Drosophila melanogaster: one gene and its partners. The protein of the gene in region 2 interacts with the protein of the main gene of each other region in a biochemical or structural test. Each region holds a gene or a part of one and is shown on either strand. Other genes may lie near its edges.

Evidence for each region. The genes of interacting proteins can lie anywhere in the genome.
Region 1: of the proteins of stet (region 2) and Krn, one has a biochemical effect on the other in vitro, tested with the Drosophila melanogaster proteins (one study listed by BioGRID).
Region 3: of the proteins of stet (region 2) and spi, one has a biochemical effect on the other in vitro, tested with the Drosophila melanogaster proteins (2 studies listed by BioGRID).

What each region holds. Positions count from the first base shown.
Region 1 is NT_037436.4:17,647,537-17,656,005, forward strand, and holds Krn (keren), read right to left. Parts: upstream 6,745-8,469; 5' UTR 6,456-6,744; intron 3,091-6,455; 5' UTR 2,997-3,090; coding exon 2,343-2,996; 3' UTR 2,026-2,342; downstream 1-2,025. Other genes in the region: Ndfip (Nedd4 family interacting protein), read right to left, coding at 905-1,708; CG7484 (uncharacterized protein), read left to right, coding at 7,152-7,190, 7,246-7,364, 7,682-8,060.
Region 2 is NT_037436.4:1,485,382-1,493,392, reverse strand, and holds the start of stet (stem cell tumor), read left to right. Parts: upstream 1-3,845; 5' UTR 3,846-3,941; intron 3,942-4,347; exon of another isoform or gene 4,348-4,487; intron 4,488-4,561; exon of another isoform or gene 4,562-4,654; intron 4,655-4,885; 5' UTR 4,886-4,976; coding exon 4,977-5,147; intron 5,148-5,202; coding exon 5,203-5,295; intron 5,296-5,363; coding exon 5,364-5,387; intron 5,388-5,457; coding exon 5,458-5,634; intron 5,635-8,011. Other genes in the region: CG12084 (uncharacterized protein), read left to right, coding at 1-64, 128-299, 356-517, 586-747, 930-1,409, 1,475-1,639.
Region 3 is NT_033779.5:19,572,791-19,579,043, reverse strand, and holds the start of spi (spitz), read left to right. Parts: upstream 1-1,728; 5' UTR 1,729-1,858; intron 1,859-3,456; exon of another isoform or gene 3,457-3,509; intron 3,510-6,253. Other genes in the region: msb1l, read right to left, coding at 36-1,004, 1,070-1,246. UniProt on the Drosophila melanogaster protein: Ligand for the EGF receptor (Gurken). Involved in a number of unrelated developmental choices, for example, dorsal-ventral axis formation, glial migration, sensory organ determination, and muscle development. It is required for photoreceptor determination.

The sequences.
Region 1 (8,469 bases), about 16 Mb from region 2:
ATACAAAGGGATTAAACATAGTAATTAAACGTTATAATAGGCAATAATCATATGTTCTAGCAATAGTTGTTTGTGTGTGTTTAGCATTCGTATTACTGCTGGCTCTTGTGTAGTTAATTAATTAAGTACCACAGCGTAAAATGGGCTCAACAAAAGATATGGGTGGCATACTTTTCTATCTCGACCCTTTATAATTTTGTATCCCATTTATTTTTTGGTTTGTTTTGTGTCTTTGTTTCAAGTGCATGGGCGCCACTAAAAGGCCTAGGGAGATTTTGTGGGGGTGTAGAGGGATCAATTAGGGTGAGATATTTATATATCCATACACATTTCACATACATTTACAATTATAATCGATTGGGGGAGAGCAGATGCGAAGATGCATTCGCCTTTCACTTTTTAACACACATTTTTAACGTCTCTAGTTAACACAGAAACTACAAAAAATGATAACCCACAACTCGGATAGCTCTCGAAATCGAATTTTCTTCGCAACATCTAAGCCGCTGCACCGTTTACAATTTACAATTGGCTTAATGTAAAACTGTTCAATACATTTAGTATTTAAAAGAAAATTGAAACTTTCTTGAAAGCTAATGCAATTTTGGACTTGCGAGATATCCCAATAAGTTTGTGACTTGAAAGTGTAGTAAACGGATATACAAAGTATATTTTTGAATAACATTACTTCTATTTTAAAGAAATTGATTGACTAATACATTTGAGGGAATACTTTCAAGTCCATAGTGATTTCGAGAACTCTGCAAAATAAGTTCGCGTTGATTTTTCGTGTGCTGGGTCTGGGGAATAGAGGGTGTTGGGATCGGTTGGTTGGTAGCATTCGAGCCTCCTAGCCACCCACAACGTATTTACAAGACGACCACTGGAAAGCCTCCAGGTGCACCTAGTAAAAGAATAGCAGCCGTTCCTGGGCAGAGGCGGAAAGGAGGCGCCACGATCGCTTGATGCTGACATACTGTATTAAAGCGCGTATGCTGATCAGGAAGCCAAAGGCACAGATCAGCCACCAGAGCCAGGAGTTTTCGTGCGAGGCCAAGTCCGTCGAGTGCTTCACGATCAGCGTCCATTTAGCCAGCGACAATCCGAATCCCGACAATGCTCCATATCGGGCGGCGATTGTGTGACAGAAACAGGTGAGCATCAGGAAGCCGATCCAGTTAAACAAAAAGGCCACAATGAAGGCCGTGATGAACATGATGTCCGTGCCGAGCAAGTTGTCGGTGGTGGACAGACTATTTTCCGGATCGCTGGCATCGATGGCGATGAACGTGAGTGCCGGCTGGGCAGATCGCACAGCAGCGGCTCCATCGCGCAGCGGATTTGGCGGCAGTAGCGGATTCGGCGGCGGCGGTAGCTGCTGCGAGGAGGGTAAAGTCAAAAAGGCGGGCGGCAGCTCTCCGTTCAGCGACTTTTCCATTTGAACCTCCTCGTACGTGGGCAACTTCCCGTGTATTTCTGGCGGCAGTTGTGCATTCATAAGGTCCGCCTGGCTCGGCAGCTGCACTTGCATCTGTATCGGGATCTGACTGGGATCGGGTGTGGCCAAGGCCAGCGGTGGCATCTGAGCCGGCAGTGCTACCTGCTGGCCATGGCCAACGTTCGCCTCGTACGGTGGCGGAGCACTGAAGTCCGCCTTTGGCGGTCCCAACTGATCATCCCCGGGAGACGGCTGGTTGTTGTGCGGCATGACTGGAAATTACAAACGGAAAACGGGAAAATTAATTCAGTGCTTAAGGGGTTACAAAGCATATGAATTTTTTTGACAGCCTAAGGTGACGTCTCAGAAAAGAAGATTCTTAAGAAATTCTTTTCTTTCTTACATACTAAATTTAAGATATCCTTATTTTCGTGTAGCTTAACAGATCAACTGTTTAGTATTTACATGCATCTCTGAAATAAAAGGAAAATCAAGGCCATGGTGAATTTTGTGCAAACTATTCCCAATCAAATTCTAAAGGTATTCGAAATTTGCATTATCTAAATTGAAAGTAAAGCTGGTGATTTAGTTCTCGCTTTTATTGACGATATTAGTTCACGCGTTTTTTTTTTTAATAAAATTAGGTGTATAATAAATAAATGGGCGGCTAGCTGCCAAAATTGCATTGAATTATATCTAGATTTATTTTTATCTCTCTCTGAGCAATCAGTTTTCGTTCGTTAATACTTGATCTAAATGTGTTATAGGCACGTCAGTAGGCACTTAGAACTACGGCATTCGCCATCTCAATCAGATGGCAAAAATAATAGTTTCGTTTAGCAGTTAAAATAAACAGTTGGACATGTTAGACATTTAAAAACAAATGAGCAGCCAGGCTAATTAGTTAGCGCAAAAGTTCGTTGCAATGCCTGGGGCGATTGGAGGCTTTCGCTTGAAGGTGGGCCTCCTCCAGCGATAGGATGCGGCAGGGTCCAAAGGGACGTCTCACTGGACGTAAGGGTCGCAAGCCATCCACCTCGTCCATGCCCTCGTTCTGACAGCCACCGTCGGTCGTTGTGGTTGTGGTGCTGTCGTGCAGCTTTTGTTTTTGCAGCTTCTCGTGTCGCAGATACAAAACCACACAGCACATGGCCATAAACAGAAGGGCCAGCGTTGCTCCGCTAACAATGCTGGCCTTCTCTAGCATCACACGGTTCCTGGTTGGCAGGTACGAGCCATCAATCTCCTTGTACTCGCACCTCGGACCCATAAATCCCAGCGCACATTCGCAGTTGTATAGGATTTCATTGTGGATCTTCACCGTAAAGCAGGTGCCATCGTTCAGGCAATACCAGGCGACATAGGTCGGTGGACAGGCGAAGATCGGGAAGGTGACATTCGGTCTCGGCGTTGTGGATATTTCCACATTATCCGGCGGCAGGATCGGTGCAGCTGTTGGCCGCGGCTTAGCGATGGCACGCGAGGAACAGGCGGCGGTGAGCGGTAGGTAAGCGCCGATTAAAGCGGTGGCAAGCAGCAGCAGATCCTGGGCTCGCATCTTGATCTTAACTCATGGCAGCTTACTTGGGAATGTGGCAATGCAGTTTAAGGTGTTTTGTAATGTGGAATTCTTGGCTTTGGCTGGCAGGCGGCTGCAAAACAAAAACGAAGTGCAATTAAAAACAAATCAAAAATGTAAGCTCGTGTTCGGGTCTGTGTGGGTTAATTGCCTGCCTAGCACCGCCAGCCGCCTCCTTCTCACAATTACAACCTATGCTCCTCGACCTAAGTGAGAACGAGAAACAGAAAATCGAATTTCATAAATTTTTAACAAAAAAATGACATCGTTTATTTACCTGGCCGGAATCGCGAGCGGAACCCAAGCGGCTGTGGCATTTGCACAGCCTGCATTCATTATCAATTGGTTTTTCTGTTTACACTCTCACTTAACATAGCGAACACTTCAGGCACTTCAATATATAAAAACTGTTTAATACAAGATGTATTTAAACGTATAAAAAATTGATTTAACCTTAGGATTTCGAAACGCCTTGTTATAAACAAGATCTTTTCCGGAGAAAGAATGAGCTTCATTAGAATGTAACTGATCCCGTTGCGTATATAAACAAAATAATTCGAATGATCAACAGAAACAACGATGTTGAGTAATTCTGCTGAAACAAATACATCATTTGTAAGCAACATTTGAGTGGCGACCATTTGAGTGGGCGTAAAAAACATAAACAAATTAGTGCTCGCCTTAGTTGTGATCCACAATAACAGTGTCGTTTTCAGAAACACTAATTTTCGGAATTCCACTTAACGTAAATTAAAACTTTCTAAGTGCTTTCAATAAACGCTAGTCATGCCAACTTAACTGTCTAAATTTATATTAGGAAATATGTCAGTGAAATTGAACTATTTTTTTATTCAAACATGCAATATTACATTATTAATCAAAACTAAAGTTATATTCTTCTACTTGGAAGTGAAGGAAAGAAGAGCGAAACAGTTGCAATTATAATAAATATACACTTCGTTTTAAAAAGTTTTGCTTTCGTCACCTGTTTGGATGTTAGCACATTAAATCTAATATTTGTACTTTATTTCAAACAGTCAATTATATATAAGATAGCATTTAGCTTTTATTTTCTAGGACTCTCGTCACTAGTCGGAATCTCAATCCACAGTCGCGAGTCCTTGGACTAAACCGTGTCCAATTGCTTTGTAAAGCTCAACGGAGCCCTAAGCCCCATAAAATTTCCCCTTTCCTCCCATCACATGTGTGGCACGCACCTACGTCTAAAAATAACAACAACAAAGCTCACGAGTGAAAGTTGACAGCTGAAATGGCAGGAGAAGAGTGCGAGTGCGAGTGCGAGTAGGACAGTGCGACAGTCGCAAAACACAAATGCAATTAAGATGACCTTTCGGTCAATTGAAATATAAACGGAGCCAAACGAGCAAAACAAAAATAGTTCAAGCCAATAAAGAAACTGCGTGAGTGGGCTTAAGTTGGCCCTAATTTCTGCGAGTGCATATATGGGTTTTTTGTATAGTTTTTTTTTATATCTGTGGGTATGTGGGTGAGCCGGACGTAAGCTTGAATAATGAGCTAATAGGCGCCAACGAGCTAAATGAGCACCTGGTGGCTTATCAAAAATTGACCTCACAAACAGCAGAGTACACAGAAATAAATTTTGATATCATATATGATATGATTTTTGTATCAGAATACAAAAGACTTTGGTTTCATATGCACTCAATAATTACTTTTGTATACACACTTTAAAATACTTCAATAAATATAGGAAAACATAAACAGTACTATTTGTATAATTAAATTTAGAGGTGTCCAATTTTTTTCGTGCGCAGGAATATCTAAAATCACAGTCAACACAGAGAAACCGTATTGATAAGGTGACAAATACCATCCACAGGTGCGGAAAGCAAGTGGATGCTAGGCAGTAATTACAGTTACCTGTGGATGAGTCAGATGTGCGGGCATTTGAAAAATTGCAAAATTGCACGAAACCGAGAGATTGCACATTGTACAGTTGAACTTATCTGCGTTTTGCCAATACATTTGGTAATATCATTTTAAATAAGACTCTATAGTGACACACAAAGATTTGGAGGATTTCACAATCAATCCCAATGTAAAGCGACTTTGCTCATTCTTATTTTTTAAGAATTCACTAACAATCGGGCTCAAGTACACTTATCGTTAACATGCTTCAAAGCTGGCATATAATTATTTTCAATGTAATATATACATATAAAAACTTAGGTAAGGTTCTCTGGAAAATACACTGGTTTTTCCATTGAAAAACAATAGATGTTTAAACCGAATAAATCGATTTGCTTTTAATGCGTATGCATTCGGCTAAAAATAATTTTTGAATCTTTAAAATAAATAGAAAAGCTTTTACATTTCTAAATGTCAACACATATGGAATTACCTTTGAAACAGATGAGAAATTTTGTGCAAAATATATACATATTTTTTTTTAATAATTCCATCTGGATTTGTAATTCCAAAAGTGTTTTTGTATCTAACAATATACAGTATTAAAAAAACAGTATTTGGTATCTATAGAATAATATGTGGTTTGTCATAGCCAAGTTTTACTGCGTATGCGTGTATGTAAAAATAGGATTGGAGAGGGAGTTAGAGCTCTCGAGAGGGAGAAAGCAACAGGGCCGTGACAAAAGGCGTTGGAAATTAGGGAATTGCCGTGGAAAAGTAACAACGCAGTTTGGGCCAGGTTTTGGGTTTCAGCCGGAGTTTGTTCGGTGATAAGAAATTTGAGCGCGTGGACAGCTGCCAAGCAGCAGGTGTGCGCAAGGGAGAGGGCGATAGAGGAGGCATCAGTGGAATAAAGCATAAAGTAAACCAGTTAAACGGGACCGGGAGCACAAGAGAGAGGATGAAGATGCAAGCGGAAGAAGCTGAAGAAGATGCAGATGGAGCTGTCTGAATGGAAGGTCTCTCAAGGGGCAATTTCCTGGATTGAATGAAAAACACACAGGCACCGACAGCTGCAGTGGTATTGCAGTGGAATAGAGAAAGAATAAGATTAGGAGCGAAGAGGGGAGGCGGTCGACTGCGAGAACGAGTTTCCAAGCAAACGGCGCTTGTTGTTATTGTACAAGGGCAAATGAATTAATTTACTTGAGTAAATATGAATTAAATAAACAAGTACACCGACACAGGGGTAGACTTATCGGAGTGTGCACTTTTTTTTTTAGCGTTTAGCACCTGAGTGGCGAAATCTAGCAGAATTAAGATTATTAATGTGCTAAACAAAACATAAACACATGTACACACACAAACGCACAACTGGGGCTAAAGTGCTGAGGAGGGGGAGAGAGAGCCTTAAATCTCCAGGAGTGCTCCTGTAACGGTTATTTGTTTCCCTTTCTTCGCCCTTTCTTTTCACGTCTATTTCTGTACCCGATTTTAATTCGATTTGATTCTAGTTCGCCTTTTCTATGCCATGTTCTATTTATTCACCTTGTTTTCTTCTATGCGTTGGTCGATTGCGATTGCGTTCGCTTTTCTCTTTTGCGCAGCGCTCTCTCACGTTTCCGTTTTATTGATTTTGTTCGAATTTTGTTGACTTGTTGTTGCCAAACACGCACACAGCTAATACTGTTGGTTTTTTGGCAGAACTGCGACAGTAGGCGTTTCGCTTTCAAGTGGCTTCACTATACGCAATTTAAATAATTTAAAACTGGGCTCACTTCGCGAGCGAAGCGAAAAAAACAAATGCACCACCACGAATAATCTTCGATTTCTGAGCTAGTGGTGGCCAGCTGCTGGGCAGTCCGTATCGATTGTAGGGATGTAAGCGTGATAAGCTATCGAATCACATGAAATTAGTTATTAACATCGGAAAATAAACTTGCGTACTTGAATATAAAAACCTGAAATTATTTTGTACACTTTTATAGTGACAAAAGTTTCAAATTGCTGAAAAAATATCAAGAAATAATAATAATAAGTTTATTAAAGCTGTTCAAAAGTTTGATTAATTGTCTAATTCATAAACAGTATACGGAATACCCTAAACGATGAAAAGACAAGCAACCCGAATATAATCGATAAGCCTAAATAATGTTATTTTCCCTTCTACTCATCACTAAGCTAAGAAAATTTTGTAAACAACGACGTGGACGTAGTAAATTTAATTAGAATTTAGCCACAAAAATGCATAAATGTGCTATATTTCTTCTACTGGCTTTAAGTGTAAGTTATGTCTGAAGCTAAGACATGTTTTTAATATATATTTTATACCCTACAGTGCCAGCAAATTCAAGCCGAATTGACGGCCGCCGACTGCCGGGCGTTGGGTTTTATTAAGGCCCAGTTAATGTGTTCCAGTTGCGAAAAACTGGATGATTTCGGATTGGATACCATCAAGTGGGTTCAATAACATTTAATTAATCTAGCTTTGGAGTTGTAAAGATACCCATGAACTATGCTATAATCATTCCATAAGAAGACCTGAAAATTGTTTAATTAATATGTTAATCTAATTAGATCAGGTTAAATTTCATACCTCATTTTAAATATTCCAACCAAAAATGCTTAGCTTGACTTAGTAAGCTCCTCCATACCACTGACTAAATATGATTCTTCCTTCAGTTTTTAATAACAAAAATTATATTAACTTTTTATAGTTTCTGCTTGAGCCCATTGCTCTTTTTTATTCATCCAAAACATTTTTAACATTTCAGGCCTCAGTGTAAGCAATGCTGCACTTTGGATCAGCAGCCGGCGGCACAGCGGACATATGCCAAGGCAATTCTGGAGGTGTGCACCTGCAAATTCCGGGCCTATCCGCAGATTCAGGCCTTTATTCAAAGCGGCCGACCTGCCAAGTTCCCCAACCTGCAGATCAAATACGTAAGAGGACTGGATCCCGTGGTTAAGCTCCTAGATGCCAGTGGCAAAGTGCAGGAGACGTTGTCCATAACCAAGTGGAACACAGACACTGTCGAGGAGTTCTTCGAAACGCATCTGGCCAAGGATGGTGCCGGCAAGAATTCGTACAGCGTGGTGGAGGATGCCGATGGAGATGACGATGAAGATTACCTGCGAACCAACAGGATCTAAAATAAGCATACCCAAAACTGTAGATTAATAAAATCCGAAACAAAACTATAGACCGTACCATTTTCTTTCAAAATCATTGAATATTTATATTTTGTTAAATATATTCTGTTCAAGAACTAAAAATGTGTAGACGTGAGATTAGTACTCCAAACTTCTGGGATGTCAAGCCACTGAATTTAAAAAATATAAACATCAAGATCAGGGATATACATAAAATTGGCTTGTAATATGAGAGATCTAATCTAACTAAAGAGATTTAGTTTTTAAAAGTTTTTAGAGCCACTGCAAGGTGGCGTGAGCTTTTCTACGCGCCACCGCGGAAAAGCTGTGGACACAGTTTGAGAGTAACTGACAAGCCAGTTACTGCAATGCGACGCCGTGGGAGTTTTCGATTCATAAGTATAAATTA
Region 2 (8,011 bases):
TGGATGTTGTGCTCTCCGCCATGGATCGGCATCTCAAGTTCAAGCACATGCAAATCTCCGGCAGGTGGGTTTATAGCTTTGAAGTTAAGTGAAAATAGTATTTAATTCTAAATTTCATCTTCATTAGTGCCACGCTGTTCTACATTGTCAAGGGCAGGGATCGATCCAAGTTTGGAGCACTACTGCGCAATCACATCATTCGCACGCTGCTCAATGGCATGGAGATGCACATCACCGACGACACCATGCTGCGGAATGGTTACCTCACGCTCACCCAGTTTCACATGCCAGTCGATGTGGTAAGCACCGCCTAATCTAATATTATATTAAGTACAGCTAAATGTCTGGTTTTCAGCTCTTCGAGTACGAGCGTCTCATCAAGATCCTGCTGCACGGCGTTTCTAAGACGGAGCAAGAGGGATTTGTCCAGCGCATAGCAATCTACCTGCTGAACACACTCGCTTGCCAGGTGGATGGGCGACAGAAGCTCTTCCTGGGCGAGTTGGGCGTAGTTAGTGTAAGTGTCTTGCCTATCAACTGTTTGCCGGAACTTATTGTACTTATTGGTGATATTCTTGACTTTAGACCATGTTCACGTTGATAAAGGATCGGCTGACTCGCTCCGTTTTCGACGATGTGATGGAGGTGGCTTGGTCCACCATGTGGAACGTAACCGATGAGACTGCTATTAATTGTAAGAGATTCCTCGATGGACGTGGCATGGAGTATTTCCTTAAGTGTTTACATGTAAGTTCTCCAAAAACTTGCCATTATCCGCAGCGCAACAAAGATAAGATTGGGAACTAAAATATTTAATTTAAGAGCTGCATAGAGAAAGCGAACAAATGTATACTCCTTGGTTTCATGAAGAAATAGGTTAACTTCCTGTATCCAGACTTCTTAAGCTGAACTGTCCTTTTCCAAAACAGACCTTCCCGGATCGTGACGAGCTGTTGCGCAACATGATGGGCCTGCTGGGCAATGTGGCCGAGGTGAAGTGGCTGCGGCCCAAGCTGATGACCCAGGAGTTCATTGAGGTGTTTGCCCGTCTGCTGGACTCCCTGAGCGATGGCATCGAGGTGGGTGGTGCTAGTGCGAGTGTGGTGGCGAGAGTGCGGGAGAGAGAGATGGCCAGTGCTAACCATGCCTACCTGCGCTTCCAGGTCAGCTACAATGCGGCTGGAGTGCTGGCGCACATTGCCTCGGACGGAGCGGATGCCTGGACGATCAAGACGCCCAGCCGGGAGCACGTGCTGGAGCGCATGGTGGCCGCCATTCAGCGGTGGAACATCAAGAGCGAGCGGAACATCAACTACCGCAGCTTTGAGCCGATCCTCAGCCTGGTGCGCTGCTACGAGACGCCCCAGTGCCAACATTGGGCTGTTTGGGCCCTGGCCAATCTGACACAGGTGGGGGAGCAATTCCTTTTCCCATTGTTGGTGCATTGTGTACTAACTTCTGCATTCCGTCACAGGTTTATCCCGAAAAATATTGCAAGCTGGTGGAGCAGGAGAACGGCATCCAGATCCTCAACGAGCTAATCGAGCACGAGAGTCCCTACTGCGAGATCAAGCGCATCGCTCGCCTGGTCATAGAGCAGTGCGACTCCGGATCGGAACGCATGGTCGTCGACGGCTAAGCGGATATTTAGGATAACACGTAGCTTTAGGAGTCGAGTTTGTTGTAATGTTTTTTTTCTGCTTCCTCTGTTTCCCGTTTTAAAGCAAGTGCATGTGTTATGTGGTTCAAGAGATTCTTCCTTGACTTTTATGTTTACAGCGAGAGCAGCAGATACATAGATGCAAGTTTAAACTATGCGAGAGTTAAGCAACTAAATCTAATGATGCAGAAATATTCGATAATTACATAATTACTAGATTATATATGTATATGATGTATCACATGTTGTAAGCCAGCGATCTTTTTAGGCCTTCAGAAGTGTAAATATTGTTAAAACCGGAAAGAGGAAGACATTGGAGTAGCAAGCAAGGCTGCTGGAGATTAAATAAATCCTTAAGAATTGAATTCCCCGTGGATCGATAGTTCTTTCTCTAGCCACATAGACGAGTGTATGGAATCTGTTCTTTGAATTGTGGTCATCATACGATGCTCACTTAACCCCCCCACATTTGCTGTGCTTTCGCATCACGAACCCAAGTAGCTGCAAGTTCAGGATCGGATCGTTCAAAATAATCTAGCTATATAATCTAGACCACTAGGCTAGGCTTAAGCAACTGTAAATATATTGCAAGTAACAGTTTTGAAAGTTCTGCGCTTGGCATTAATATTTATAACAGTGTACGTTACCATTAGTTACCTTACATTACGTATATACATATATATAATTTGATTCGTAAGCGACATCACGCCTGTGTCTTACCAAAGACCCTAGAATAACAAGATGCGTAACGGCCATACATTGGTTTGGCACTATGCAGCCACTTTTTTGGTGACGGCCAAAATTACTCTCTTTCCGCTCACTCCCGCTGAGAGCGTAAGAAATCTAAAAATATAATTTGCTTGCTTGTGTGAGTAAAAACAAGAGACGAGAACGCGTATAAGTGTGCGTGTTGTGCTAGAAGACGATTTTCGGGCCAAAATCAATTCTGATCGAAGAAACGAATTTACATGGTACATATTAGGGTAGTTTTTGCCAATTTCCTAGCAATATGATAAAATAAAAAAATTTTTAAAAATTCGCGCCCTGACTATTATAATTTTAAAGCTTTTTTAAATTTGTTTGTTAAAATCGCCGCTTGAATTAGCTACCGTTTACACATTTATATTTATGTTTAATTCTAATTTGTCTCTCATCTGACAATTTTTTAAAAGCGAAATATTTTTTTGAAACACTTTTAATGTTAATGTTACATCATATTAAGTCAAATGATTTAATAAATATACTAAATAATTAAATATGCAATTAAATTAAATTGCAAAAGTAATATCAAAGACAATAGAATTATTCTAGTGTCTTTGCTTTGTTCCACGGCCAAAAAATCGTGTGCCAAAAAATCGTATGGCGTTACGCATCTTGTTATTCTAGGGTCTTTGGTCTTACACTTTCCTTACCATCCAAAATCACACGATTCTTACAGTGGAACTTTTCTTAAGTTTATTATTTCTGCTTTTGATCGATTAAAGTAATTTTTAAAAATATTTTGGTACAGCTCTTACTCAAATAAAGCTCAGGAACTTCCATTTAACTTATCTATTTGAAATCATTATTTTTTTTTAGACATCATTAAAGAATGAATGCATCACACATTTAAGAAATCTGTTTTTATCATATTTAAAACGGATTTTTTGAGTTTAGGGCTAGAAAGTTTTCCAAATTAAAAGTTTGCTCTACAAAATACATTCATTAATTCGACTTCATTCATAAAACATCATTTCACAATCGCAACTTTGTAGCACAGTGTGGAGTGGAGTGTGCCAACCAGAGCTTTGTCTTCATCATATGTATGTGATATGAGTAAGTTTCAATAAAGCTGCATCTCCCGTGCAGTTTCATTCATCAAGTTTTCAGCAGTGAATCACTAACTAGTATGAAAACTAGTGATGATTTTAACATTGGCATTCCACGGTGCAAGTCGCGGGGTGTGGGGTGCGTAGCCGCTGTTATTATCGAAGTGCAGGGTATGTAAACATTAGGGGGTGTGAGTGGCCAGCTCTGGAATTGCGTCATGCGCCCCCTCGCAGAGCGGGTGGGTGGGCGCAGGGGAGGAAGGAAATGCCAACGGGTTGGAAATGCTTTCCAAGCTGAGCGCATGTGCCGTGGGAATCCGAATCCCCTGCATCCCCCAGAGAGACACTCTCTCTTCTCAATTTTGGCAGCTCTCCTTGGTCAGTTGTCATTTTGCCGGCGGAAAGTTCGCGTGTTTGTTTTTGCCTGGATGTAAATGTGCAATAGTTTTGCGTTCGCGGGTGCAAGCAAAACGGTAAATAAAAGTGAAATAAATGAAATAAAGAAAGCCAAAGGCCAAGCAGAGAAGCGCAAGCAAGAAAGTCCTGTGAACCAAATAGAAAGCAAAACACACGGGGGGTAGCAATCAAGCCAATTCTCCTTCAATGGAAGGAGAAGAATGCGCATTCCATTCATTCGCTAACAAAACCATTCAATCAATGCCAATTGCCTAGTTTAATTCAACAAAATGAAAACAAAATTGTTCCGGCAATTGACGAGGCGTAAACAAAATGCAAAACAATTGTTTGCCAGCCGGATTCTGCGCAGTGTGCCTTATATTTCCAGCAGGATCAATAACCTTCTTATCAGCGGAAAATAAGGGAAAACGACAACAAACCGTTGACTTGGCAATCAAAACAAAGGGCAAAAGCAAAAAGGAAATTTGTTTGCCGGCCATGAAATAGACTATGGTATTGAAAACCAGCAGCCTATGATTATCCGGAAGTATCTCTCTGGGCCCGCGGAAAGTGCAACAATTCTAGTAACGTCAAATTGCAACAAACTGATTTCACAGGCCCCCCCAACCCCAACAAACAGAAAATCTTAATTTCTTTTCTTAAGAAAACGAAATGAATGAATTATTTTTTTTATTCATCTCGACACAACCTCGGCGGCACTCGAACCGCCACTCGAAAAACGTGAGCACGCGTGAATCGACATCTCAGCGCACTCGACCAAATCGGTGGTGGAATTTATGTCGTTCAAACTGAACTGCCTCCAAAAGAGCTTTTGAGTTAAAGAGATTGAAAAGCTCTGCACAGTGGATCCACTTGGCGAATTTCGAAAACAAACATTTTAAAAATATATAACAGCTATTTACTTTTTTTGTTTCAAATTATTATTTAAATTTCTACAATATTGGGGAATAAAAGGACAGACAAGTTCGGAGCATAATACTTGATAATTACTTTTCCGCAGCTGAACTCTAATCGCTACAAACACTGCCAAACCACAACACAACGATCCGCCCTGATCCCAAAACCAAATCTGGATAGCCAGGAACAGCAGGATGTGGCCCGGCTCCGAGCGAGGAAGCTCGCGGGCCCTGGAAATCCCAACCAGCCAGCAAAATGCCGGCGGTAGTAGTCAGCAGGAGACTCTGGCCGACATCGAGCACATATCCACCATTGCCGGCTCCCTTGCCTCCATTGGATCCCTCTCGCACACCCAAATGCGCTATGTAAGGAGCCGGAGTTGCTTGTAAAGATCGTATCTCTAACTCTAATTACCCGCAGCAATGCACCAATGATGCCGGCTATGATACGGAACACACGTCCCTGAACTCGGACTTCGATGAGGCCGAGCTGCGACGGGAGCTACTAAGAGATGTGAGTTCCAATACGAAAATCCTGAACATTACTTATTATAATTCCTTCTTTCTTCACTTTACTTACAGAAATGGAAACTGCTCTTTGACATGGTGAGTAAGCCAACCCAAAAAGGAATACTTATAATTATACTTATTTATAATTACTTTTCACGCTTTGCAGTTCGATCCCGAGGGTTTTGGCGAAATATCAGTCGAGGAATTCCTGGAGGCCCTCAAGTCGCCGGAGTTCCTGTCCCAAGTGCCTATGAACAAGCGGGAGCTGCTGCTGGAGCGGGCAAAGAAGGCGAAGCTGCCCACAGGACCCGGCTACGTGACGTTCCAGGACTTTGTGAATGTGGTGAGTGTGCCGTGTGCCGCAATTACAATCGCCGGTGGTCACTGGCCAAGTAACCAAAGTAACCAAAGTACCCAAAGCACCCATGCCATGCGTATATTTGTCCCGGGCTGCTCATCAACGGCAAACTCGATTTAAGTGCAAACACAGGTGCAAAGTACTCACCCAGGACGAGGTCCAAAGTGTAGGCTCGTGTTCAAACAGACGGAGGACAAGGCCTCGTCCTGGCAGGAGCCGCACTCTTGTTTGGCAAATGCAAAAAGTGCGCTTGGCAAATAAATGCGCCGCTTACGCTTACACTGCGAATAAAAGGGGGTTACTTACTTTTATGCTAGTACCTATGGACACCTTGTTCCGGAAGCAGCAATGTATTTGAATGAAATACACTGCGCATTAAGTTATTTGAAGGATATACCAAGGACATCGATTGTAGAAAAAGTTAGACCATAGTTTTTCTGTATGTAAGCCCACGTCTCGTTTGCTTCCTTCGCCACGCTTGGCCAGGCATTTGAGTGTTTGTCCTGGTTACCTGGGCACTGGCTATTTGTCCTGATGTGGTCCGAAAATACTACCTTGGACTTGAGCTGTGCAACTGGAGGGGAGTGGGCGGCAGAGGTGACTTCTGCGAGCGAATGAAGCGCTTTTCTCGGCTTTTCCTTTGATTGGCAGGGCAATCCTATTGCATTTTGATTGATTCTACCCAGTTGATTGGCACGCACACAAACCGCACACGACAAAACACTCATGCATAATCAATTGCACAGTGAATATTCCTTCGCCTTGGCCGTTCGATTGTTTGCCAAAGTGTCCTTAAAGTCATGAATTAGCCAGGCCGACGTGTCCTCATTTGCCCCTGTGTGTGTGTGTGTAAGTGTGTGAGTGAGTTTGGGCAAAGACACTAGAATAACAAGATGCGTAACGGCCATACATTGGTTTGGCACTATGCAGCCACTTTTTTGGTGACGGCCAAAATTGCTCTCTTTCCGCTCGCTCACGCTGAGAACATAAGAAATCTAAAAATAGAATTTGCTTGCTTGTGTGAGTTAAAAACAAGAGACGAGAACGCGTATATGTGTGCGTGTTGTGCTAGAAGACGATTTTCGGGCCGAAATCAATTCTGATCAAAGAAATGAATTTACATTGTACATATTAGGGTAGTTTTTTGCCAATTTCGTAGCAATATGATGAAATAAAATAATTTTTAAAAATTCGCGCTCTTCTTATTATAATTTTAAAGCTGTTTAAATTTGTTTGTTAAAATCGCCGCTCGAATTATCTACCGTTTACACATTTATATTTATGTTTAATTCTAATTTGTCTCTCATCTGACAATTTTTTAAAAGCGAAATAATTTTTTTGAAACACTTTTAATGTTAATGTTACATCATATTAGGTCAAATGATTTAATAAATATACTAAATAATTAAATATGATAACTGTTTATTGCAAAAGTAATATCAAAGACACTAGAATTATTCTAGTGTCTTTGCTTTGTTCATATCTTGAGGCACGAAATGCGGACACAAGCACTCAACAATCATTGCCTTATTAATTTTTCACACGCCGCAAGATGAATACTCTAATGACAAATATTCTTATATAAAGTCATGTTTGAAATTGATTTTTGTGATAATATGTACATAGATTTGGCTTTTTCTAATCTATTTTCAAATAATAATAACGTTAAGGCAATGCAAAACAAGAATTTTTCGCATGGTGCCAATTGATAAAAAATAATATAGATTTAAAGTCTAAGAACTTCTACGGTGAAGGGCATATTTTGTCAAATTTACAATGCATGAGCATACGTGTGCACACATAAAGTTGTCTGCTATCACTGTATGCGTAGAAAAGAGCGGTTCGCTGTAGCGCTCTTCGCTCTCTCGCTCTCTAACAAAAATTCGAGAGAGCCTGGAGCCACCTCTAGAGCCACGGCCAAAAAATTGTGTGCCAAAAAATCGTATGGCGTTACGCATCTTGTTATTCTAGTGTCTTTGGTTTGGGTGTGTGCCTAACGGTAATTGCGGATGAGACCCGGGCCATTCTTTGCACAATGGATTTCCATTCCACATTCCCCCGGCGAGGACATTATTAGGTCCTTGTTTGGCCTGCTAATGCATTTGTTATTCCAATTGAGGGCTCCGTTTCCCTCTATGTCTCTCTCTCTCTCTCTCTCTCTCGCCTTGGCGAGCCATTCATATCTTTGCCAGCAATCTGAGATCCTTGTTGCCATCGTAGACAACATATTTCCACTTAATTATAAATTGCAATGATCTGCCGGACACGGGAGGGCATATTAACCAGGACCTGGCGGTGGAATCGCCAGGAATCCAGGAATGCCGCGATGCGATGTCCAACCTGGCAATGCGCCATGCATAAT
Region 3 (6,253 bases), on a different chromosome or scaffold from region 2:
GATGGACATAAGGCAATAGTAGCTACTAAGCTGTGTTAGTAAACGGGTCCGCTGAATCCCTCTGTGCCAGAGATTATCCGCAGTTGATCGTTGAAGCTCTGCGCGGGCGGAATCTGATTCTTCTTAGAATCCTTTTCCATTGAACGGGATCGCAGATGCGGCTTATTCTTAACGCAACTGAGTGGAGTTCGCTTTTGTGCGGACAGGGGGGTACTGTTTGTCTTGGGCGTAATGGATCCTCCGGTCACCGGGGACCCCTCCTCTTGGTCAACATAGATCTTTGGCTTGTTGGCTCTGGCGGGCTTGCGCGGTGGCACACGACGCTTGTGACCCAAACGCACTCGCTCCAAATGTTTGTTCGACGGCACTTCTGGTAGCTGCTCCTCGCCAGCGACAAAGGAGGCCATGCTGCTGCCAGTGCTGAGATTCAGGGTCAGTGTTTCCAGGATGTGCTCCAGCATCTGGGCCTCGCGTGCCTCCTCCTCCTCGTCGTCGCAGAAGATGATGGGTGTGCGATCGACGCCCAGGCTGGGCGATCGGGGATCACCATGGGGCTGCTGTTCTGGCGGGGGCGTGGCCATTTTCACCTGGCCCTGCTCCAGATTCGGCTCCTGATACGGCAGCAGCTGTTGCTCGCAAGGCAAGGTTTCTTCCTGATCATAGGGCAGTGAAACAATCTCCAGGGAAATATTGTTGTGTGCAGCAGACGGCGGTGTGCCGAAGCTATCGCAGCTCTCCTCTAAATCCACTTGGGGCGGTGATGCAGGCACTGCTCTCTGTGCTGTACCCACCCTGGTGTCCACGAAGAGATCGGCGAATGTGTCATCCATATTAAGCGAACGAACCTCATCGAGGACCAGTGGAGTGCGATTCAGCTGAGGAGAGCGAGGATCGTTCAGGGAGAAGCCCTTGAGCAAACGTTTTCGCAGCATGGAGAAGGCATTTTCACTGGTGGTCACATGCTGCTCCTCCTCCTCAACGCGAGGTTTTGACGCCTGCAAGAACTACAACGCAGCCATCATTACTAGGGTTAGTAATATCAAAAAATACCTAATGCCTATAAACTCACGGTTAAAGGCGTGCGGCAGCCATTTGGTGATCGAGGATCGAGCAAAGCGTTGTTTTGCTCTCGATTCGGCGTCGTCATTTCCATTTGTTCTCGCTTTTCGCTGGCCAGGCGCATTTTGTTTAGTGTCGGCGTATCCGGCAGATATTCACCTTCCATTTTTGTTGCCTTTGCTCCCATTTTAATCAAATAATCTGACTTATTTTGCGACTTCTCACTAAATGTTGCGGGGTAAAATAAAATCGTTGCCGCGCATTTGTTTTGAAATGGCGTCGTGTGGAGTTGCCGGATCAGGAAATGCCAACTGGTAACAGTATTGTTAACGTCAGTCTAGCTATTTTCAAGCCAATTCTAGCAGTGATTACAAATGGATTTTATCACTAGTTCTTTCATTATTACTAATAACTAACTAATCGTTACAAATATAAATAGAAATTAAACAACGTTTGGGATATTTAGAACTTAAGTCTGTAATGTTTAGGTGGATTCTTCTTGTTTTACTCCTCTCAAATAAATTTATGAATTGATTTTTATTTATAGTACATAAGAAAATGTAAAATTCAGTAAACAAATAAACTAATATTAAAGTTATCAGATATTTTTTTTAATTTCGCTTTACAGCACTGATTTTTATGCTGCCTCGCGATAGTGTCATCTCCCTCCAGCTAAAGTCTGGCAACACTTGTTCATTTAAGACGCGACACAACGAATTGTACTCTTTCAGTTTTTCAAAAAGAAAATGGCATGAAAACAGGCCAAAAAAGTGCGACAAACGAAGAGCTAAATCCCAAAGTAAGTGGTAAAGTAAGTGATAAACATCCAAATGAAAGCAACCCAAATGCATACATAAATGCGCGAGTGTGTGTGCTAAATTATAACAGTAGTGACTGTGTACCTTCACGGAAAAAGGGAAATGAAGACAGGAAACTGGGTTTTTTTACTCCAGATGACTATTTTTATTGAATTTACGCAGTTGCTGTACTAAATAGGCGAGTGTTTTTGTGTATGTGTGTGTGGGCGCCGCAAGCAGCAGTAAATTCTCCTGTGTGTATATGTGTTTTTTTTTTCTATGGCCGTCTCCTTTTTACACACACTAGCGCACAATACAGCTGCGCCTTGTTTTTTGCCGACATTTTTTCTGCTTAGTTTTATTTATTTTATTTCAATTAGGCAGACAAATTATTTTGCTCGCTTTGTGGAGCCATCAATGTGGGTTAGTAAGCTAAAGTGCTGCGTAAAATTGCGCTATTGTTTTATTTGCCAATTGTAGCGCAAAAAGTAAGCAAATTGTATACACACAAACGCCAGAGCGCATGTCGTGCAGACTTTCTCTCTTGCTCCAAATTGCGAGTGTATGCATCTGCGTTCGTGTGCGTGTGAGTACTGAAAACAACCGAATTTCATTCATTGCTCATTTCCGAGAAAAACTACACGCTACACTCGTCGCCATCTGCAATTGCACCTCTGTGTGCGTAAGTCACTGTATCACAAGTACATTATATGAACTATGTATATAGGAGCCGCTGCAGTTGTGCAACATGTTAATTGATTCCAGGGGCTGCTGGGCGTGGCAGGTGCAAAAGCCCCTTCCACCTGGCTTCTATTTACAGAAACTTCTTCCCACTTCCAGAGTTCAACATTCTTGCTCTTCCCGTCGCTTGACCGCGTTTTTCAAACATTCCACGAGCGGTCTTAGCACACTCACACCGGCACGCTATGTGTGTATACATACGTATGTACGTATATTGATTTCAATCAACTTTGAAGCGCGCTCTGGCCTTCTCCTTCGCTCATTCGGCGGTGTGCTATGCTCTGCCTGTCTCTCTCGTGCTCATCTGTCAATTGAGCACCACGTCCGTTTGTCGGCTCATCAGCAATTTACACAGACACACACTTCACCGCGCTGCATCCGTGTGGGTAAATTCCATTTCCTGTTTATAATATTGCGGCGTCTTGTCTGTCTGTCTGTCTGGCGTACAGCGGAGACGCAAACCAGCGTCCCTTTCGCCTTTCGTTCCGCTCATCTCGCTGCACAATGGATCGATCCTAAATAAGCATCTTTTAAAAAGTATTCAAAGTTTGTAAATCGTAACGCATAGCAAATATATTGTTATCGTCATAGTTTGTCATGGTTATAGTTTTGTTAGCTTATTTTTGTTATTCTAAACATTTTAAATTAATACTACATCTTTTTGCAAATCGGATATCCGTCTACTTTCGCTCTTATCCCACGTACATATCTCCCACTTACGATCATCCGCGAGTTTCGGTTCCGTAGCACGTTACCTTACGCATCGCAACCACTGTGCCGTTGGCATTGGAACGCTGACCGCTTTGCGGCTGGGAACGATGGGGAATCGGAACATCCGAATGCGACGCGCTCCGCTCTTATTCGAATTCCCAGCCTGATCCGGCTGTCACTGCTCTTGTTGTTGCGGCAGCGGTGAGTTGAGTAGTACAGTACGTGCCACTTCCTTTACATTCAGAAAAATAAAAATTGCTCACACACACTCATGCATGTATACGCCTAAAGCATACATAAACAGACGTTCCGGACAGACAGACAAACATTGAGTGGAGCGTTGGGAGGGGAGCGGTTGCTTGGCGTCTGCGCCGTGTGTTGTTGCTTTTATGCTGCCCCTACTTATTGTTCTTGTACAGTTGCAAAGCCACTCACATGCGTGTGTGTGTGTGTGTGTGGAGCCAAAACAGTGAAAACGAGTTTGATGTCTGGCTAGATATGGCAACTCTGTCGGCGAGTGCACATCCCCCCAACCCCAAGCCCCAAGCACCCGCTTATTAGAAGAGAAATACCGCAGAGCGTTGTTGTTGATTTTACGTAAGAAGGCCGTCGAACTCAGCATAGAAAATGGTGAGCGAAAGAAAGAGCGGCCGCGAGATAGATGAAATATGGGGGCCCACGACCAGAACCACAGCCAGAGAGAGTGTGCATGCAAATAGGTGCGAGTGTGTGCGTCTAATGATTACCGTTACTATTTGCATGTTGTCTAGTCAGACGTCTCGCGACCCAGACTGTGCGACCCACCAGGCAATTGGCGAAAAATTCTTCGTCGTGACCTTTCATCGTCATCGTTTCAACCGGACATCCAAGCTATATGCATATGTATGTATGTATGTGTGCGTGACAGTAATGTTGTTTATTGATTTTATTAGCATTGCCTTCGAATTGGCTTTCCGAATGAGCATACAAATATATACGACAATGACGGTAATGGCGGTAAAAACGTTAGCAAATTGCAAGAATGCACTGAAAAAAATTCATACAGTGGGGCAATTAAAAGTACATTAATGTCTCTAGGGCTCTAGGAACTCTGCTGGTTCGTAACATTTAGATTGCAGATATGAACTAACTAATATCGGCCAAATTACGCGAAAGAAAACCAATTACAAAGCGGTCTGGAGGAATCCTTCGCAAAGCATTGCTAGTGCTGTGACTGCAGCTGTACACTTGCCACTCAGTTGCGTGCATTTCTGCATTTCTGCCGGCTGTGGTTCAACGTCCTAAGCCGCACACAACAAGTGCAACAATTGTAACATCAACAAAGCAACAGAACACCGCAAAAGGGGCAGAAAAGCGGTGTGGCAAAGAAGCACAACTTGATGGGGGAATCGGATTGGGAATGGGAATGCACAAATGCAGAAGCGAAGCGACGAAGATGGCAAACGGAATGAGGGCAGGTCCTAGGGCAATCCATTAACATTTTGCCCATCGCCCATCCCCCATCATCATCGTCATCGTCATCGTCGTCATCTTCTTGGTATTATTGTACAGTTGAACCTGTAGCACTGAGTCCCGTCCCGCTGGGCTGTGAACTAAGCCGATTGATTGTCCAAATCTCACCAGAATCGAATTGCCATCCGGGTGACTCTTGGTTTCTTTCTTTTCCTGCCTTTTTCTACTTTTCTCCCGCTTTTGGATGCATTCCGACATAACCCAGAAAGCGTGTGCCAGGTTGTTGCTGTTGTGTCGCTTGTGACGTCAATTGGCTGTGGAATGGTGTCTGCGGCCCACATTGCGGACCGACTGCCCACCGGAAACGGGTAGTTGTGCCGCTTTCATACATGCAGTACATGTACATAGGTCGAATCCGCCTTATTAGAGGTGGAGAAACATCGATGATTCCTCGAAAAACATCGATGTTTGTGATTTTTTGAAAAAATCGACGACATCGACGTTGGCATTTCAGTAAAGGAATTCCAAAATCTCATTTACCTGTGAAAACCGCGCCCCAAATGTTTTAGATCGCGTATGGATTTTCCCAGAATATATACATAAAATAAATATATGTAATTTTATAACATAAAGTTACCTCTTGGGAGCTCTCGAAGCTGCAGCACACCTTTTTACCATATTTTTGAGTGAATGTGCAGTTATTGGAGAAACCCTCTTCCAGCCCTGATACGCGAATCTCCAGCAAGTTGCTCCCATTTCAAGGGGCGTTGAATCGCGAGAATCTGGAAAGTCAAAATAGCAATATTTATGGCAACGACATCGGTCGGAGCTTTATTTTTGGCGCGCTTCTCGAGCGGCCAGAAGAAATTTCCCGAGGAATGGAATGTTGTTTACTTGCGCGCCTGCGCATCGCATCCGCATCCTCAACCTTCGGCCAGTTCCATGAAATCTGCAGTGGGGCCGAACTCGTCTGGGTTTCATCCTGTTCGTCCTGTTTGTCCGGCTACCTGCCCCGCCCCTGCGCACCGCCACGCCCTCCGCTCTCGAGCGCATTTTTCCTCTTTTTTTTTGTGCTTTTGCACCGCCGCTCTGCGTCGCTTCTTGTTTGTGTGCCTTTTGCTCCGCCAAGCTTAAAAGTGGCGGCGTCGGCGACGTCGTGTCAATAACATGTTGATCCTACATCGTGCGAAATCTTCTGGCAACACCAAAACAAAAACCAAAACAAGAGAGAGCCCTTTTTACGAAGCGTAACTACTCAGATATACCCTTTAGTCCAATAGGTAATATCATTTGTTTGCAATGACAGCTATAGGTGAGTGATTCCTATTGAATTTTGTATTGTGTGGCTTGACATTAATGGAATAATATTAATTTAAGATTTAAACGAGTAAAGTAGCTTCTGAGGCAATTTATTTGAGTAATTATGCAAAGTGTATTTTGGAAAAATTCTTTGCCTAAGAGCCCATCACCGTATACCCAATTAACTCTCCAAG